4 linked regions of the Coturnix japonica genome follow. The protein of the gene in region 2 purifies or fractionates together with the protein of the main gene of each other region. This does not show direct contact. Links are inferred from orthologs where the notes say so. Each region holds a gene or a part of one and is shown on either strand. Other genes may lie near its edges. The genes, in order: TFIP11, HDAC11, ATG2B and PAXBP1.

The links.
Region 1: the proteins of HDAC11 (region 2) and TFIP11 purify together in Homo sapiens (co-immunoprecipitation; 3 studies listed by BioGRID and IntAct, counting the BioPlex papers as one, with this or other methods). This does not show direct contact. The link is inferred for Coturnix japonica from reciprocal best matches to the Homo sapiens genes HDAC11 and TFIP11.
Region 3: the proteins of HDAC11 (region 2) and ATG2B purify together in Homo sapiens (co-immunoprecipitation; 3 studies listed by BioGRID and IntAct, counting the BioPlex papers as one, with this or other methods). This does not show direct contact. The link is inferred for Coturnix japonica from reciprocal best matches to the Homo sapiens genes HDAC11 and ATG2B.
Region 4: the proteins of HDAC11 (region 2) and PAXBP1 purify together in Homo sapiens (co-immunoprecipitation; 3 studies listed by BioGRID and IntAct, counting the BioPlex papers as one, with this or other methods). This does not show direct contact. The link is inferred for Coturnix japonica from reciprocal best matches to the Homo sapiens genes HDAC11 and PAXBP1.

The regions. Positions count from the first base shown.
Region 1 is NC_029530.1:6,267,175-6,271,315, forward strand, and holds the start of TFIP11 (tuftelin-interacting protein 11), read right to left. Parts: upstream 2,844-4,141; 5' UTR 2,752-2,843; coding exon 2,555-2,751; intron 1,811-2,554; coding exon 1,807-1,810; intron 1-1,806. UniProt on the Homo sapiens protein: Involved in pre-mRNA splicing, specifically in spliceosome disassembly during late-stage splicing events. Intron turnover seems to proceed through reactions in two lariat-intron associated complexes termed Intron Large (IL) and Intron Small (IS).
Region 2 is NC_029527.1:3,871,187-3,875,335, forward strand, and holds the start of HDAC11 (histone deacetylase 11), read left to right. Parts: upstream 1-1,324; 5' UTR 1,325-1,472; coding exon 1,473-1,474; intron 1,475-2,112; coding exon 2,113-2,261; intron 2,262-4,149. UniProt on the Homo sapiens protein: Responsible for the deacetylation of lysine residues on the N-terminal part of the core histones (H2A, H2B, H3 and H4).
Region 3 is NC_029520.1:42,141,003-42,145,214, reverse strand, and holds the start of ATG2B (autophagy-related protein 2 homolog B), read left to right. Parts: upstream 1-1,352; coding exon 1,353-1,514; intron 1,515-2,777; exon of another isoform or gene 2,778-2,801; coding exon of another isoform or gene 2,802-2,873; intron 2,874-4,212. Other genes in the region: GSKIP (GSK3B-interacting protein), read right to left, coding at 80-97, 725-1,378. UniProt on the Homo sapiens protein: Lipid transfer protein required for both autophagosome formation and regulation of lipid droplet morphology and dispersion.
Region 4 is NC_029516.1:94,521,180-94,524,741, reverse strand, and holds part of PAXBP1 (PAX3- and PAX7-binding protein 1), read left to right. Parts: intron 1-255; coding exon 256-400; intron 401-545; coding exon 546-667; intron 668-985; coding exon 986-1,062; intron 1,063-1,326; coding exon 1,327-1,393; intron 1,394-2,922; coding exon 2,923-3,069; intron 3,070-3,379; coding exon 3,380-3,534; intron 3,535-3,562. UniProt on the Homo sapiens protein: Adapter protein linking the transcription factors PAX3 and PAX7 to the histone methylation machinery and involved in myogenesis.

The sequences.
Region 1 (4,141 bases), on a different chromosome or scaffold from region 2:
ACACAGCAGTACATCAGGATATCCATGAAAATAAAAACACAACCCTCAAATTCATGCCATAACCCACGTGCTACATCAGTGTTAATTGGTTCTCCCTTTAGAATCATAGAATTACCCAGGTTGGAAAAGACCTTGAAGATCATCAAGTCCAACCGCAGCCTAACCAGATGCCCTAACTCTAAAAACCCTTTACTGACCTAATCATATCCTGAGGCACCACATCCAAACGGCTCTTAAACACAACCAAGCCTTGCGGCAATATCAGGAACCTAACACCTTGGAGCCTATTCAGCACCATAACCCTAATTCTGTAAAAGGGAAGTATACTATACTAATCCACACTAAACTTGCCCACATCTGGCGACAAATGAAGGCACATTTCTTTCAGAATAGCTCTGTTTATACCGCAAGAACCTCAGAAATTATCCTCTTAGAGCTCACGACAAACAGATCATAGTATCCACTATCTACAACAGAAATTCACTACAAGAATGACTCCAGAGTGAGGACCGTCGGCAGACCTCAAGGAATCACCCCCACCTGCCATAGCAGGGCCACCAAAACAATAACACAACTTACATAGATCAGGTAATGCCCAGTGGGACCCCGCTTTACCACCTGCCTTGGAAACACTACTAAAGACGGGCGCATCCACAACCTCCCTGGGCAGCCTTTTCCAGGGCCTCAACCACTCTTACCTAGCTTAAAGAACTTCCCCCTAACATCCCAACTGCTAATACTTCCTCTTTTAACTTAAAGACCTAATTTCCCCGTAGTCCTGCTATTGATCAGCCCTTCCAAGAGCTGTTACTCCCTTTCTGGGCAGAATAATGTTCCCTTCAGATATTGGTGAAAGGCTGCAATGAGGTCACCCCGCAAACCTATCTCTTCTCCAGGCTGAAACAAAGCACCAACTCGCCTCAGTATTCCCTCTGCGCTCACTCACTGTTTTTTCAACTGTCTTCGGCAACTATTTCCCATTTTAGGGATTTTTCCTCCATGGCTACTAAATGGGGCTTCTCATCTTCATCAGTAGATTCCCTTCCACACACCGAGACTCGCTCAAGCCCGCGCTCTCCGCCGGCTTCATTGAAGTTTCACCGCGGTGGGGACTCGGTCAACCACAATCTCCAGCCACTTATCGAGGGAGCGGTTACCTGTTTATCATTCCTCCGTATAGTGTAGAGACTGAACCAAAACCTAAGACCTGTCGAGTTCTTCAAACGATGCTTTCCATTGACCTCTCGAAGACATAACATCGGTATTCCTCCTCCTTGGTGAAGATTGAGCTGAGCAACGTGTTTTACCTGTGTCGCGCATATTGATAACACTAGGTTCTCAGGCGAAAGATAAAGGATTTGTGGGAACCACTAACTCCACTTCGAGCTGGTATAACCACGAAATTGTAGGCGTTATCTGATAACAGCTAGCTCATTTTCGATCGGTAAATCTCCAATTTATAGCCATCTTGGTGCTGTTAATAAGTTTTACCTGTATAGTAGTAAAGTGCTCTATGTGCTTGTTTACAAACGTAATAACTACTACGGATTCCTATCCTCACTTAAGCTGTACAGCAAAGGCAATACGAGCGTTTGTGAGACATAAGGGTAGAGAACGGAGTCATATATGTAATTTGAGACCCTTAAGAATCTAGAGGTAAAAGGCCTGCTATGTATAAAGAAAAGGGGGAATTGTAAGAGTGAGCAAGAGCCACCAAAATGGATGGTAAAGGTAACACTCTTGCATAGAATAGAAAGGGGAACTTTCACAGAAACCAAGACAAAGGGTAAACTGTAGATAGTGTACCATTCTAAAAGGGCAGGGAAAAGGGGAATTACAGACACTTAGTCGAAAAGAAAAACCAGAGAAGAGGCGGCAATAAGATAAGAAGTGTAAAGATTAGATACCCCCGGGCAAGGATGATCGCTGACATGGGAGAACGATACCAGCAGATAACACCAAGTAAGAAAAAAAAACAGGCAAGAATTTCACCCCAAAAACAACGGCCAAGGGTCACAGAATCACAGAATGACCCGGGTTTGGAGGGACCTGCAAGGTTCATGGGAGTTCCAACCCCCTGCCTGGCAGGGCCCACCAAACATACACCTTTTACTAGATCAGGTTGCCCAGGGCCCCGTCCAAACCTGCGTCTGAACACCTCAAGGACGGGGCATCCCACAACCTCCTGGGCAGCCTGTCCAGGCTACCACTCTCCTTAGTGAAGAACTTCGCCCCTAAACATCCAACCTGAAAATCTTCCTCTTTCAACTTAAAACCATTTCCCCCGTGTCCTGCTATTAAGGGGCGGGTCAGTTGGAATGGGTCAGGGGGAATGAAGGAATGGGTTGCGGGGAACGGGGAGTCATAGGGAACGTAATGAATATGTAATCAGAACTGGAGAGAGGAGACTATCTGATTATGTATTAGCTTAACCTATATCTATAACACACTTTATTATTACCCCACTATACCCCACAACCCAACCCCCTGCTGCCCTGACGCCCTTTGGGCCTATGTGACCATCCCCCATAGCCCGGCCCGGTCCATCCCGCACCGCTTGCCGCCGAAGCTGGGCCTCTCATCGTCCGAATCCCGCTCGGCCCACACGCCATAGGTGGCCTCCTCCTTGGTCTGCCGGTGGCGATGCCGGTGTGGGTTGAATTCGTTCTGAAGGTCCCAATCCGACACTTCGAAGTTCTCCATTTCCACTCCATCCTCCCCGTCCGTGCCGTATAAGTGTGACATCGACATGATGGATCCGAGCGACGACCCGGCCCCGCTCCAACCTACCGCTCTTTATGGCGGCGGGACGGAACCGAACCTCATCACTTCCGGCGACGGAAAAATACGTCACTTTAACCATGCCCTAACCATAGAGATGCTGGCTAGAAGGAACGCGCCCCTCTAGGCCCCCTGTCGAGTGAGCAGCTCCTCGGGAGGTATCCCGAGAGGCAGCTCTGTGACATTAAATCACTTCTCTAGTCATGAGAAACGAATCACAGAATGACCCGGGTTGGAAGGGGACCCTCAGAGGATCATGTAGTTCCAAAGCCCCCCTGGCCTGGCAGGGCCACCCAAAAATTACACCTTTACTAGTCAGGTTGCCCCAGGAGACCCATACGACCACCCATAAGATCGCCCATAGAGACCCATAGAATCCCGCATAGAGACCCCATAGATCCCCATAGATCAGCGTTAGCCCAGGCACGTTCCAACCTGCCTTGGAACACCTCCAAGGACGGGGCATCCACAACCCTCCCTGGGCAGCCTGTTCCTAGGGTTCAACCACTCTCCCTAGTGAAGAAGCTTCCCCCCAAACAATCGCAACGCTAAATCTTCCCTCTTTTTAACTGGTAAAACCATTTCCCCGTGTCCTGCTATTGTCAGCCCTTTCCAAGAGTTTACTCGAATGAGTGCAGCCAGGAGTGAAACGATTGACCTCATATATTAATTCTTAAATAGAATCTGTCAATGACAAGTGAACGGAAGAGACAGTCCGCCGCATTGTCACCTGTACAACAAATGCTCTATACACGGTTATGACACCTATTCTGATCTGCACGTATAAGGAACAGCATTACGAGACACTGAAAATAACAGGAAATCTCTTTTCCAATGCACTTTGGAGGGTCGGTCGTGCTTCATTTCCACAGATCTTTCACCACGGAGCATCCAGCGAAGGGAGACGAGTGGTATCGAAGTGTACAACGTTTGGCCTTTGCAAATAAATGCAAATACATTCCTGGCACAGCAGTCATTTTGGCAATATCAGCAAGCAATATGCTTGGATAACAGATCTCCATCGGTGCAACTGCAAACTCTTCTTTACGGAGCCACCCTGGGCCGTTTGCAGCAGCCTGCAAGGGAAGAAACAGTCTGAGCAGTCAGGAAGTCCCAACAGCCAACTTGAAAACCACTGTGAGACAGCAATTGTTGGATGCTGAGCTCCAACCCCTGCGTGATGGGCAACAGCACCTGTTTGTACTCAGAGCCTTTGACACACAAACAGCTGCTGCAGAAATCAAGGAGAGCTGTTCTGTTCTCCCAAGCTGGCAGCAAACACCACCACCCCCTTGTGAAATGCACACAGGGCACATCCCCCCTTCTGCTGGGGCTCAACACACATACACGACCCCACTCC
Region 2 (4,149 bases):
AAGCTCGTTTGCCAATTTCCCTCATTCTCCTGAATATGAAACAAATTATATAAGCAGATGTAATAAACATACAGTTACAGGTGGCCTGACCAGGCAGTCTCTTTCCTACAGGACTCTATTCAGACACATCTTTCTATTTGCCAAAATAAGGCTCTGCTAGTAAATTAGACTCCAGCACCATTCTTCAAATGAATCTGTGCGGGTAGATCCTTTCAAAGAGGCCAAATCACACCAACAGCCTGAAAAGAGTTTCTGAGAAGGCCAGGGTTGTCATCTGGAGGGGGGGAAAAATCAATCAATCTGAAGCCATATTATATAGTATTTCCCTTTGCAAAGGAATCTTCCCCTCCCAAAGGTGTTTTTTATGGTTTTCAACATGAAATGAATGATTTCCTGGATGATAAAGAGCAAACTAAATAGGCCAACCTTGGGAGTTAATAAGTTGCTGGTTATTTGTTATAACAATGATATGTCTGTGCTTTCGAGTATGCAGCAATTAATAAAGTCCCTTAGCACAGAGCACCACTGTTATCCATAATATTGTCAAAACCTTTTAAGTTGTACTTTGTTTCTAAAGAAGTAGAAATGAAAAGGGGTAAAACTTTCCCTTTGTCTTGCAAAAATAGAGCTATCAGTCTGAAAATAACATGGATGCACTGTACAAGCTGGACTGTAATTAATTTTCTTACTTTTATATGAACGCTAAATGGCAGAATGCACCTGAAGAGCAATTTACCATACCGACAAATGAGGAAGCCTGTCTGCAAATGTGATTTTTTAATTTAAGTTCAGGAGTTAGTTTAAATGAAAATGAAATAACATACTTGGAACTAATGAATCAAACAACACTAGGACTCTAATTAAGCATCCAGCATTAGATGGTTAGAAACAAAGATTAAAGGTGGGGATGCTTGAACTAACACTGAGGCACATGCACAAAGGGCTGGAACAAAAAGCTTAATTAAAAGATAATGTCAAAGGGATGGGATGTTTTGTTGGGATAATGGGCTCCTGCTGCACTATTAATGACATCCAGGAATCCATCAAAACGAAGGCCAGCCTAAACTGGCATATTTAGAACGGTGAGATATTTATCTGCAGCTTTCACAAAGGGGCGGTGTGCTTCCTGAGTGCTTCTGTGCCTTGTGTGCACAGCTACTATATATTGCTGCTATAGATGGGCAGTTTCTCGTGATGGTGCTATTGATTTAGCTGTACAGTTGCATAAGAAATGCTGTTTGTGGACGTTCAAGCAGGGTTTTTCAAGTACTCTCGGTGCCTTTTGCCTTAGAGCTCAGCTCCCTCCTGGGCAGTGCCAGCCCAACACGAATCCACCCACCTCCCCGCCCGCCTGGGCCCGGCCCCTCCGTGTCTCCGCCCGCGGCGGGCGGGCCTTGGGGCTGGCGGTGCCTGGCCGCGGGGCGACCCTTCCCCCTGCGCGGCTTCACGGGTCGCCCCAGCCCGGCGTGGGGATGTGAGTATGGCCGGGGGCTGCGGGTGGGCTGAGCCCGGTGCTGTAGTGGGGGCTGTGCCGGCAGCGGGCCGCAATGAGGGTTGGGCCGCGCTCAGGCCCGGCGGAGGCCTGCTCGGCTGCGGGGCCCGGCGGTGGGTGGGTGTAGGGTGCCGGGAGCCCTGGCACTGCAGAGCCTGGGTGTGAGCGTCGTGTCCCAGTCGGGGTTACCTCTGGGCTTGGCCTGACTGGCCAAAAGTGTTTGCACATGAGCCTGGAAACACCTCTATTCAAAGTTATGTTCTAAGGCAGGGCTTAGTGATCATGGAAGACTATGAGAGAGAAGCAAATGTTTCCATTAATTCATGTCTGCAGTAAAGTACATGTGCATAATGCGCTCACAGTACATTCCTTAGTCCTTTCTTTCTTTTCCTTCTTGCTAATTATTTTAAGAGTTTTGACTGTGCTGCTGGGAACTGAGGACTGTGATGCAACAAACAGGTGCTCCTGTCTGTAACTAAGGGGATTGGGATGCTCGGGAGCTGTTCCTGATGTAAAGCTGTGATTGCTAAGGACTTGTAGCTTGGGAATCCAGTGAAAAATATTCAGGTGCATAAGCAATTGACTAAAGATGGTAATTAGTTTGGCTTTTGCTTTTCAAGGCCTCACAGAACCGAGTTATATGAAGGTGTTCCACCAACTTGCTGGCCTATCGTGTATTCTCCAGACTATAACATCACGTTCATGGGACTGGAGAAACTACACCCGTTTGATGCAGGGAAATGGGGAAAAGTGATCAACTTCTTGAAAGGTAAAACAAACAAAAACACCCCACCACGTAGACCAACATTCGAATGAACCAATGTTATTAATGCTAATAATTAATTACATCATTACTGCTCCTTGTATAGACTTAAATTATGCACTTTAATCATTGGAGTGCTTTAATATGTTTAAGTATGTGTAGACTTAAATCCAAAGAAGTTAAATTGATGGCAGAATTTGTTTGGTGGGTTGAATGCTGTATTGTACTTTGTTGAAGATGTTGCACATTAAACAGATGAAATTGTTGGAGCAAGCATCCTACACCAGGGCACTGTAATACAAAGGTTTATTTCACAGTCCTTTGGAAATGTAGGTTCTTGCTCGCTCCACTGAACAAAGCCCAGTTTTGTCTCAGTCATGGTGTCTGTGCAGAGTGAAACTCATGAAATGTGACTGAAAATTCAAGCTCATTATACAACTTACTCTTCCCAGCGGCGTGAATAATACTAGTCAGAGTAACCAGCTTGGTGGACTCCATTCTGGCCTAGAACTTTTACTGGGCTGAATAAAAAGGATTAAGGAGAAACGTGAGCATAGCAATGTGTTAGACAATCTTAAAATATTTCTGGGCTTTGGGATTTGAAGACAAGCATGAACTGTGCAGAATTTCATAGTTTGACCTTTACAAGAAAGATGCATGTAGAATAAGAAAAATTTCTACCCCTAAAGTGAGCACCAGAGTCTTGACTTAAATCACAGCCTGAGTCAGGTGCCGTATGTGCATAGTTCAGTGCTGTGTTTTGACTTCAGCAGAGTTATGATGATTCTTGCCTTTTCTTGCAGTGTACGTACAAATGTATGAGAACATTTCCATTAAGTTTCCTCTTGAAGACAGATGCTGTTTTCAATTCCAGTTTCTTCCTTCTTTTTGAGGACTAAGCATCCAAAATGAAATGCAGACTTTAGTTTTCTGACCAAAATTGCAAATCCTTCCTGTGTTAGCTTCAAGCTTTCAGTTTGGCTTGCAAAACCTGCCGTGCAGTTTGAGAGTACCATGGTACCATGTACACTTTTCTCTAGCCAATGTGCTAGAGCATGTCTGACTTGGGAAACCTCTGCTGTTGATGACTGCCTTGCTGTGGGCTGTAATGTAGTTTACTCATGAGACTGCAGGTAGTCTACTGGTAAATGGCACTTTTTAAGCGTGTATCAGCGCAGCCTATCTCAATCTTTCTCAACCTCATGATACTATTTAGATAATATCTCTGGGGGAGCTTTGAAACCCCTCTTGTGGCAAGAACTTTGTGTTGATGCTCATTATTACTTCTTAAATAAATCTGAAAATGTAGACAAATACCTCAAGGAAATACAAATGTGAGGACTAAGATTAGGATCAGAGCCTTTAAAGCCTTTATCTAAAATGTGAGTTTTCTCATCAAATTGGACGGGGGGAAAAAATGACAAAAAACCCCCCAAACACTTGCCAAAACAAAGGCTGTCCAAGAGTCAGGCCTGTGCAGCTCATGTGGGTCTAGGGACTAATTCAGCTGATGATCTTTCTCAGTAAAATGTTGCCCTTCCTACTTTAGGCTCCCTTGTATTCATTTAACTGAGGTTAAATGACTTCCAACACCATTTATTAGCAATGTTTTCGATCTGACCTCTGATGATCTTTACTATCAGAACCTTTGCCTCTCTGCTCCTGCCCCATGTAGCCTTTTTTTTCCAGTTCTGTGTGAAATTTCTACTCTTCACACTTGTCTTTCACGAAAAACTAGTTTTCCCAAACATTTAACCCTCATTTCACTGTAAAAGAGAAAAGCCACGGGGTACCTTATGACGTTCCCGGTTTTCTATAGCTCTATAGCAACTCCTGATCTGTGCTGTTTCCTATTATCTTCTAGAAAAGTCACCAATGAAAATCCTCATATGCT
Region 3 (4,212 bases), on a different chromosome or scaffold from region 2:
TGTGGAAGCATTTGTTTTAGATTCATCATCCGAGTATGGTCAGTATAGTACATTTATACCATAGAGCTAGAGCTACATCCTAAGTAGGTGTATATACCTTTGGAAATAAGAATAAAAATAAAAAAAATAAAATATGAAAGCTAATGAATCCTGCAGCGATCCAGAAAAGCCAAAACAAAGCTCCTGAGAACCTTCAGGTTACATCAGCACGTGAAGTATTATTACTTAAGGAGTTGCTATGCAAGCAGCTCGTGCTGTGTTGTATAAGACTCCGATATGATTCAGCAGTAACTAATTCAGCACTTTGCTGATCCCAAAAGCACCGGGAAAACCAAATTAGGTATGAAAAAGCTTTAACAAGCGGCTGTTGTAAATAATAACCTGTCTTCCGTGAATTTAAATAAGACTTAGGAGGGCCTGTGAACTAAATGGGTTATCAGCCATTACGAGGGCAAAAATAACAGCAGTTTTCTGTTCAGCCTCGCTAAACAACGACTCCCTCACTCGGTTTTCACGCACAACTATCAGCACAGCCCACCAGTGTCAGACATGAGCAGGATTCGCGGCCATCTCCCTTTAACGGGAGAGCTGGTCGCGGAGCTGCCGAGCTTCTGCTCCTCGGAGAACTGCTACGATGTACCGACGCTCACAGCACGCACAGATCACAGCCGAGCAGCAGGGCCGGAATCCTTCCTCCCACCGCGCCCTGAGGCGTTCCACCTACCAGCCCCAGCGCCCAGCTCCACACTGTTGCGCCGCCCGCTGTCCCGCCGAAGCGCGGCCGCCCCGCTGGCTCTACACTGACCCCCCTCCGGTGCGGCCGCCGCCGCCACCACCCCCCACTCGGCGCCTCCCGCAGCCGCTTCCGCCTCCGCCTCCTCCGCTCGGAGACGCCACTTCCGCTGTGCGTCACGGTGCCGGTGACGGGGTTCGGCGTGGTGGGGGTGGAAGGCGCTGAGCGGTTCGCATCGCTCTCACCCGGCCGTGCCAGCGGCGGGAGCCGGCGCGGGGAACGACCCCGGCCGCTTCCCGGTCCCTTCCCTCCGCCGCCACCCCTCGTGCCGTGCGGTGCCGCCGTCCCCTCCGCGCTCGCGGGGCGCCGGGAAGATGGCGGCGGCGGTGGCCGAGTGAGGATGGAGCTACCTGTGGGCGCCTGAGGGCAGGCGGTGCCGCCCCACCGGCCGAGCGAGGGGCGCTGGGGGATCCCGGCTGCGGGCAGCCCGCGCTGAGGGGCGAGACTGGGCCCGGCCGCTTCCGCACGCTCCATCTCCGAGCGGCCGCCCCGGCCCCATCCCCGTCCCGATCCCAGCCCCGATCCCAGCCCTGATCGCGGCTCCCGGCCCGCAGCCACCATGCCGTGGCCGTTCTCGGAGTCCATCAAGAAGAGGGCCTGCAGGTATCTGCTGCAGAGGTACCTGGGCCACTTCCTGCAGGAGAAGCTCAGCCTGGAACAGCTCAGCCTGGATCTCTACCAGGGCACCGGCTCTCTGACGCAGGTCCCGCTGGACAAGTGGGTAAGAGACGCCTCGGTGCCCGAGGGAGCCGCTGATCGCTGCCCTCGGCTGCACCCGCCCGGTGCTCTGTCCCCATGACCTGGTTTTGTTGTTATTTTTGACGATAGGAGAGGAAAGGGGGAACAGTGTTGGCATTGTAACTAAAGGAAGGCGAGAATTGGTGGCAGGGAGAAGGAGGAGCTAATATTACCCGGGCTACCAGCAATTGCTCCTGTGCCTGCCGAGAATGTTGTGTACTCGCTGCTAGCAGAGATGACATAAACAGCGATCCCTGCTTTAACTACCATTTGTCTTCAGCTTGGATGCGGCTTAGCTCTTACTGACAGTGTTGTGCTGAACTTGGGGCTGGTTTTAGACCTCTGCATAGCCTGGTCTTGAAATGCTGGAGGTCTGTGTTGGAAATGGAAAGCTGCTTTCAGCTGCGCGTGCTCAGCAGGTGGGCTGCCATGCTTGGAGCCAGCCGAAGCTTTATTCAGTCCTGATGTGTGTATATATAAACGTGTATCTGTATGTATACAACTGTACACACACACGTATGTGTTCTTCCAGCCTAACGTAGTAACACAAAGTTCTGTGTCCCTCATTGTAGTATTTCGTAAAGTTTCTGGGGTTAATTACTAATGTTACTTTGTTGTACCTGTGAGTCCAGAGACTGTCATGAGGAGCCTTAAGCGCTTGTGCGCGTCACTCATTGACTTTCAAGGCAGCATATATGATTAAGTGCGCAGGCTTACTGCTTCACACGCTGCTTTCAAAACATGTTTTTAGTATACTGTGTTATTTTAAAATGCTTGTAAATGTCAGATTTTCCCATAGTTCTTTTCCAGTTATTATATGAAGTATGTTTGAAAGTGGCAGAAGACAGACTTTTGCTGAAATGCTCAGCATGACCAGCGTTTTAATGTAGGTTTTGCTGTTGTTTAGAGGTTTTTTTGTTTGCTTTCCTGTCTTGTGTGAGGCTTTAATTGAAACGTTATGCCCTCTAGTGGGTGTCACAGCAGTCTTCATTATTTACAATATAAATGCTTGGAAACCATAGCAGTACAGTACATAAAGACAGTACTAAATGAATAGTTAATTATGTATACAGGGTGATTAAATGCATATTTGCTGATACTCAGGTTATCTTTCCCCTTTGTAGATCAGTATTTGTCTTTCTGACTTGTAAACAATGAATGACACGTTTAAGGTTCTCTGCACGTGACTCTCTGTATGACAGATTGCAAAACAGATGTTATGGAAGTACTGCAGCTCTGTTTTCCTCTAGTCATCGTAACCTGGTTCTCGATGAATCATCAGAATGAGTGTGGCTTGCTAGTTGGCTTATCCATTTTTGTGGATACTTTTACTCATCTTAATGTAGGTATTTTAGCCAATATTATACGTGTGTTTATGGCTTATAGAGATAGCAGGAATGCCTGGGACTGTTGCTGTAACTTCTTTATTTTCTGGGTTGTTTAGAAAAGTTGTGGTTGAATTATAATATACACTGAATAGTGCTTTAGCTGGTGGTACAGCTGTGATTCCAGCTCTGCGTGTTCAATCCATGTGAGAACAAGTCCTGATGAAAACACTGTGCTTCACCTTTAGAATTAACATTATAATGATCCAAACTCTTTTTTACAGGAACAATTAGTAGAAAAATGCTTTACATTTACACACACACATATACATATATTTGTTTTTCCTTTAAAATGGTAAATTCCTGTTTAAAAGTAATGGAGAATACTTAAATATTTTCATTGCAAGGTAGCAAAAAGATTTCAGAGTTCAGATTTATTCAAAATCGGTTTCAGTAGTTTACTTCCTTCTATAGCAAATTTATCTATAAAGGTCTGAGTAATTTAACTTATTTGGTGGTTATTTCAAATAAGTTTTTCATGCTAAGTATTTTTTTTAATCTTCAGTTATTATCTTATTAATGATTAATACATTTAATTGAAAATAAGATCTTAATGTCACTGAATCCTTCCAGCAGTTTGATTGTTAACTTCCTAACAGAGCTGTTTCAGGCCCTGTTTGTTAGCAGTGAATGTCTTTTTCTACTTCTTGAATAGACTTTGGAACAGAAACTGGAAAAGTAAACACAATCTAAAAGCAAAGTTACTAAGAGTATAAATAGAGCAGCAAGTGAATGTGACAAGTAGAACTGAAGACTTAGTAATGAAAGATATTGTTTCCTGAAGTTTTTCATTTCATTTTTATGTTTGATTCTATGGAACAAATAGAAAATGTCTTTAAAATCCTTATCTGTGTGTTAATCATAAATTTATACTTCTTGAGATAAAAAATCAGTGTTTTCTTCAAGACAGGAAGGTCAAACCCACACGTTTTTATCTGTCAGATAGTATATCTAAAGACTGCAACCACATCTTTTGTAGGATCTTGTGTAGGAAGTTGCACTCACCAAATTTGGTATGTGACTTCGATTTTGTTTATTTTATTAGCCTTGGTGGTGCTTATTGAATTAAAATGGAAACTGTTGAACTTCTGAATCAGCACAAAGAAGCGGGTTCCTTTTATGTGCGTGTGTATTGGCAGGAATATACTGGGTTTTATAGTTGGCTCTTTCAGTTGCAGTGAAAGCTCTATAGTGCAAAAAAGTTTCTTTTCTGAGGATTTGGGACAGTGTCACAGTCCTGAATTAACTCTTCAGAGCTGCTTCCATTTTTGTAATCAGATTCATCAGTAATATTCT
Region 4 (3,562 bases), on a different chromosome or scaffold from region 2:
TTTAATGCAGTACAAATGGACTCTGTTTTTCATGTTTCCCTTATTGTGCTCAGGTGTAGTTAGTTGTTAAAATACGTTGGGTGGCAGCAGCTGCCCACAAAAGTAGTCTTGCTTCAACCATTTTCACTTTCATGTGATTTGGTGATTGTGTGATTCTACAACGAATTTGTTCATTTGGCTGTTATTCTTTATTTTAATGTCTTGACTTCAAATGTCTGTTTAAGAAGCTAATATCTTCTCAATTCATTTTATTAGGGCAAATGTCAAGATTTTGAGACTATGTTGTGGTTTGAATCGTTGCTCTTTTATGGCTGTGAAGAACAGGAGCAAGAAAAAGACGATGCTGATATTTCACTATTACCTACTATTGTAGAGAGAGTTGTTCTTCCTAAATTAACAGGTATAATCTTAGGAAAAACAAAGGGGGAGGAGAAGGAAGTCGATGATTATTTATGCCATTAGATTTTACTGCTTTGTAAATTACTGTCCTTCTATCTGTATTTGAGCATTTGCAAAATGGAGTAATTCTTTTATCTCTTTACTAGTGATTTCTGAAAATATATGGGATCCTTTTTCTACAACACAAACATCAAGAATGGTAGCAATTGTACAAAAACTAGTAAATGGATATCCTTCAGTGGTTAATGCTGAAAACAAAAATACACAAGTAAGTTTGCTCTTTTTCACGAGTGTCTTGGATAACGTTAAGGAATTTGAGTGTATTTGTAATACACTATATTGGGAAAAATATAGCATGTTTAATGAGGGTCAAAATGTAGTTGTTGGGAGTTTTGTTTAATTATTTGATGTTCTGTTGACTAATTAGAGATAGCAAATGTACTAAGACTTGTTAGTCTGCTTGTCCGTGCTCTGTGAAATTTTAGGATCACAAATGCTCTTTATTGTTTTTAAATGAATTTCTGAGTGCTTAACTACTAAGCATTACAATGTCTGTTATTAAAAAAAAAATAAAAATCTCTTTCAGATGCTTTTAAAGGCATTGTTGCTAAGAATGAGGAGAACGCTAGATGATGATGTATTCATGCCCTTATATCCAAAAAAGTAAGTCTGCTGTCAACTATGGTACTAGACTTCTCTATTAACAGGTCAGTGTCTTCTGACCATGGCATTGGTAAGGTTTTTTCCATACCTCTGCATTGTTCACTGGCTGTATGTGGGAACAAATTGATTACCATGAGGAATTATCAGAAAACAAGCAAAATGGAAGAATTTATAGAAATGAACTTTGTTTGGGAAGGAGGAGGTCAGCAAACTTCAGATGGAAGTGACAGTGTTTGCTCATGAAAGAAATCTTTTACTTTCCAGCGTCTTAGAAAACAAGAACTCTGGTCCATATTTGTTCTTCCAACGTCAGTTTTGGTCCTCTGTTAAGGTAAGTCACTAAATGCATCTGTTAAATTTCTGGTGCAGTCAGCATAGCAATAAAATCCCCTTCATATTTGTGGAAAATGGTAGATGGAAAATGGCTTTCTCTCTAGCTGAAAGAACTCTGAAGTAGGGTTCTTAGCCTTCTGTAACACGCTGTGTCCTCTTCAAAAAACTGCTAAGCGAAAGGGCATCGTTTTTATTTTTACACTGTGGGTTTCTTTGGCATATTTGTTGACCAAGGTTTTTTAATGTCATTGTATTTGTTTTTAAAAAAGAAAAAAAAAATTTAATTTACTTCTGTAGTAATGAGAGGATTTTTTTCTGTATTTCTTTAAGTAGCATGAGAATTTTCATGAAAATAACTTAGATAAACGGACAGTTCTCTATATCCCTCTGGAAAACCTGTTGATATATGTAAAATATAAAGCAGCTCTCATCTTAGTTTACTTGAAATGATGAAGAGTGTGAAAGAAATGTCCATTTGTGGAAGGTGCTCCATAGAGTTGTCAGAGGTCTATAAGAAGCTGTAACTGTTGTAATTTTTATCCTTCTATTGGAAGTGTTAACTCAGCTAAATAGGCAAGTATGAGACACTGACTGAACTGCTGAATTCCATAGTCATACAAACAACTTTTATCTGGGTTTTTTGCTGTTTAAAAGAGAGGGAGACCTTACACTGAATGGGTTTGCATTCACATCATTTACTACATTCAGCACTGAGTTCTTTGAAGTAGAAGTCAACTTCTTAAGTGCTGCCCAGAGCAAGAAGGGCATAAAGCTTATTTATGAGAATGTTGTTGTTAAGAGTGCTAACACTTCTATGGCTTGTGTCTCTTAAGAATGAAACTGCCCATTTCTGGCAATATTTTTTGGAGCATGGGCCATTTAGAGCTGCACATACTGTACCTGCAAGGCAGGTACAGATAGCATTGCAGAAGATCAGAGATAGAAGCTGGGAAGCAAGTCCCTTATTACTGTTTTCTGATGATCTGCTTTGACAGTGTACTGCCAGCTGTGTTCCCTTCTACAAAGCTGGCAGCAGTTTTCCACAGGCTGTGTATATACCGCTGGGGAATAACAGCTGTACTGTTGGCTTAGCCAGCACTTCCCTTCAGACAGTTTCTGTGCCTTTTGTTTGAGCGTGCCTTGGAAACAAGGGCACACTGACAGCTTGCCTGGCAGTCTCACTGATGAGAGGCTGTGGACTTGCCCCTGTGTGGCATATGCTAGGTCTTGCTTGACTTGATATTGACATCACATTTTGAGGTCAAAATGACCTGAAACTTTAGGGGCTTTTTCAACGGTTCTTTGGGCAAACATAAGCAACGTTTAGATGATGGTTGTTGTACAAGAATTTATAACACTCTAAGCTGTTACTTTATGAATTCTGAACACGTTTAGAACTATCAGAAGGCATATTCTTTTTGCTTTACTTAAGCTATGCTGCTGCACTTGAAGAGTCTGTAGATACTTGATTAACTTTAAAGATTCATGACAATTTAAACTATTATTTTCCCTGTACTGTATTTTCAGTTGTTAGGAAACTTTCTCCAGTGGTATGGAATCCTTTCAAACAAAACCCTCCAGGAGCTGTCAATAGATGGCCTACTGAATAGATACATTCTTATGGCTTTTCAAAACTCCGAGTATGGAGATGACAGCATTAAGAAGGCGCAAAGTGTGAGTATATCAAACAAAATATTTAATATGTATTTAAAACTCACGATTACCTCTGAAACTTTGGTTTTGGTATCTAAATACTGTAGTGTTGATGAACCAAAGAGAAGCTTCTCTGGCTTATGCTTGGAGAGATTCAGTGTTTTATCGCTTGAAGTTTGGAACTGATGGAGGTGGAGGGGAGTTCCTGTTACATTCACTTGAGTCTTGTAGACACAGTCTTACCTGGTGACTTCACAGATTGTGGCATTAAACTTTTAACATTTGTTGTTTTGGTTTTTTTTAACCTTTTTTTTCCCCCTGTTTTGTCTAGGTAATTGCTTGCTTTCCTAAACAGTGGTTTGTTAATCTAAAAGGAGACAAGACTATTTCTCAGCTAGAAAACTTCTGTAGATACCTTGTTCATCTGGCTGATACAATTTACAGAAACAGCATTGGTTGCTCTGATGTAGAGAAAAGAAATGCAAGGTAACTTAGTTTGAATGATTCAATTGCA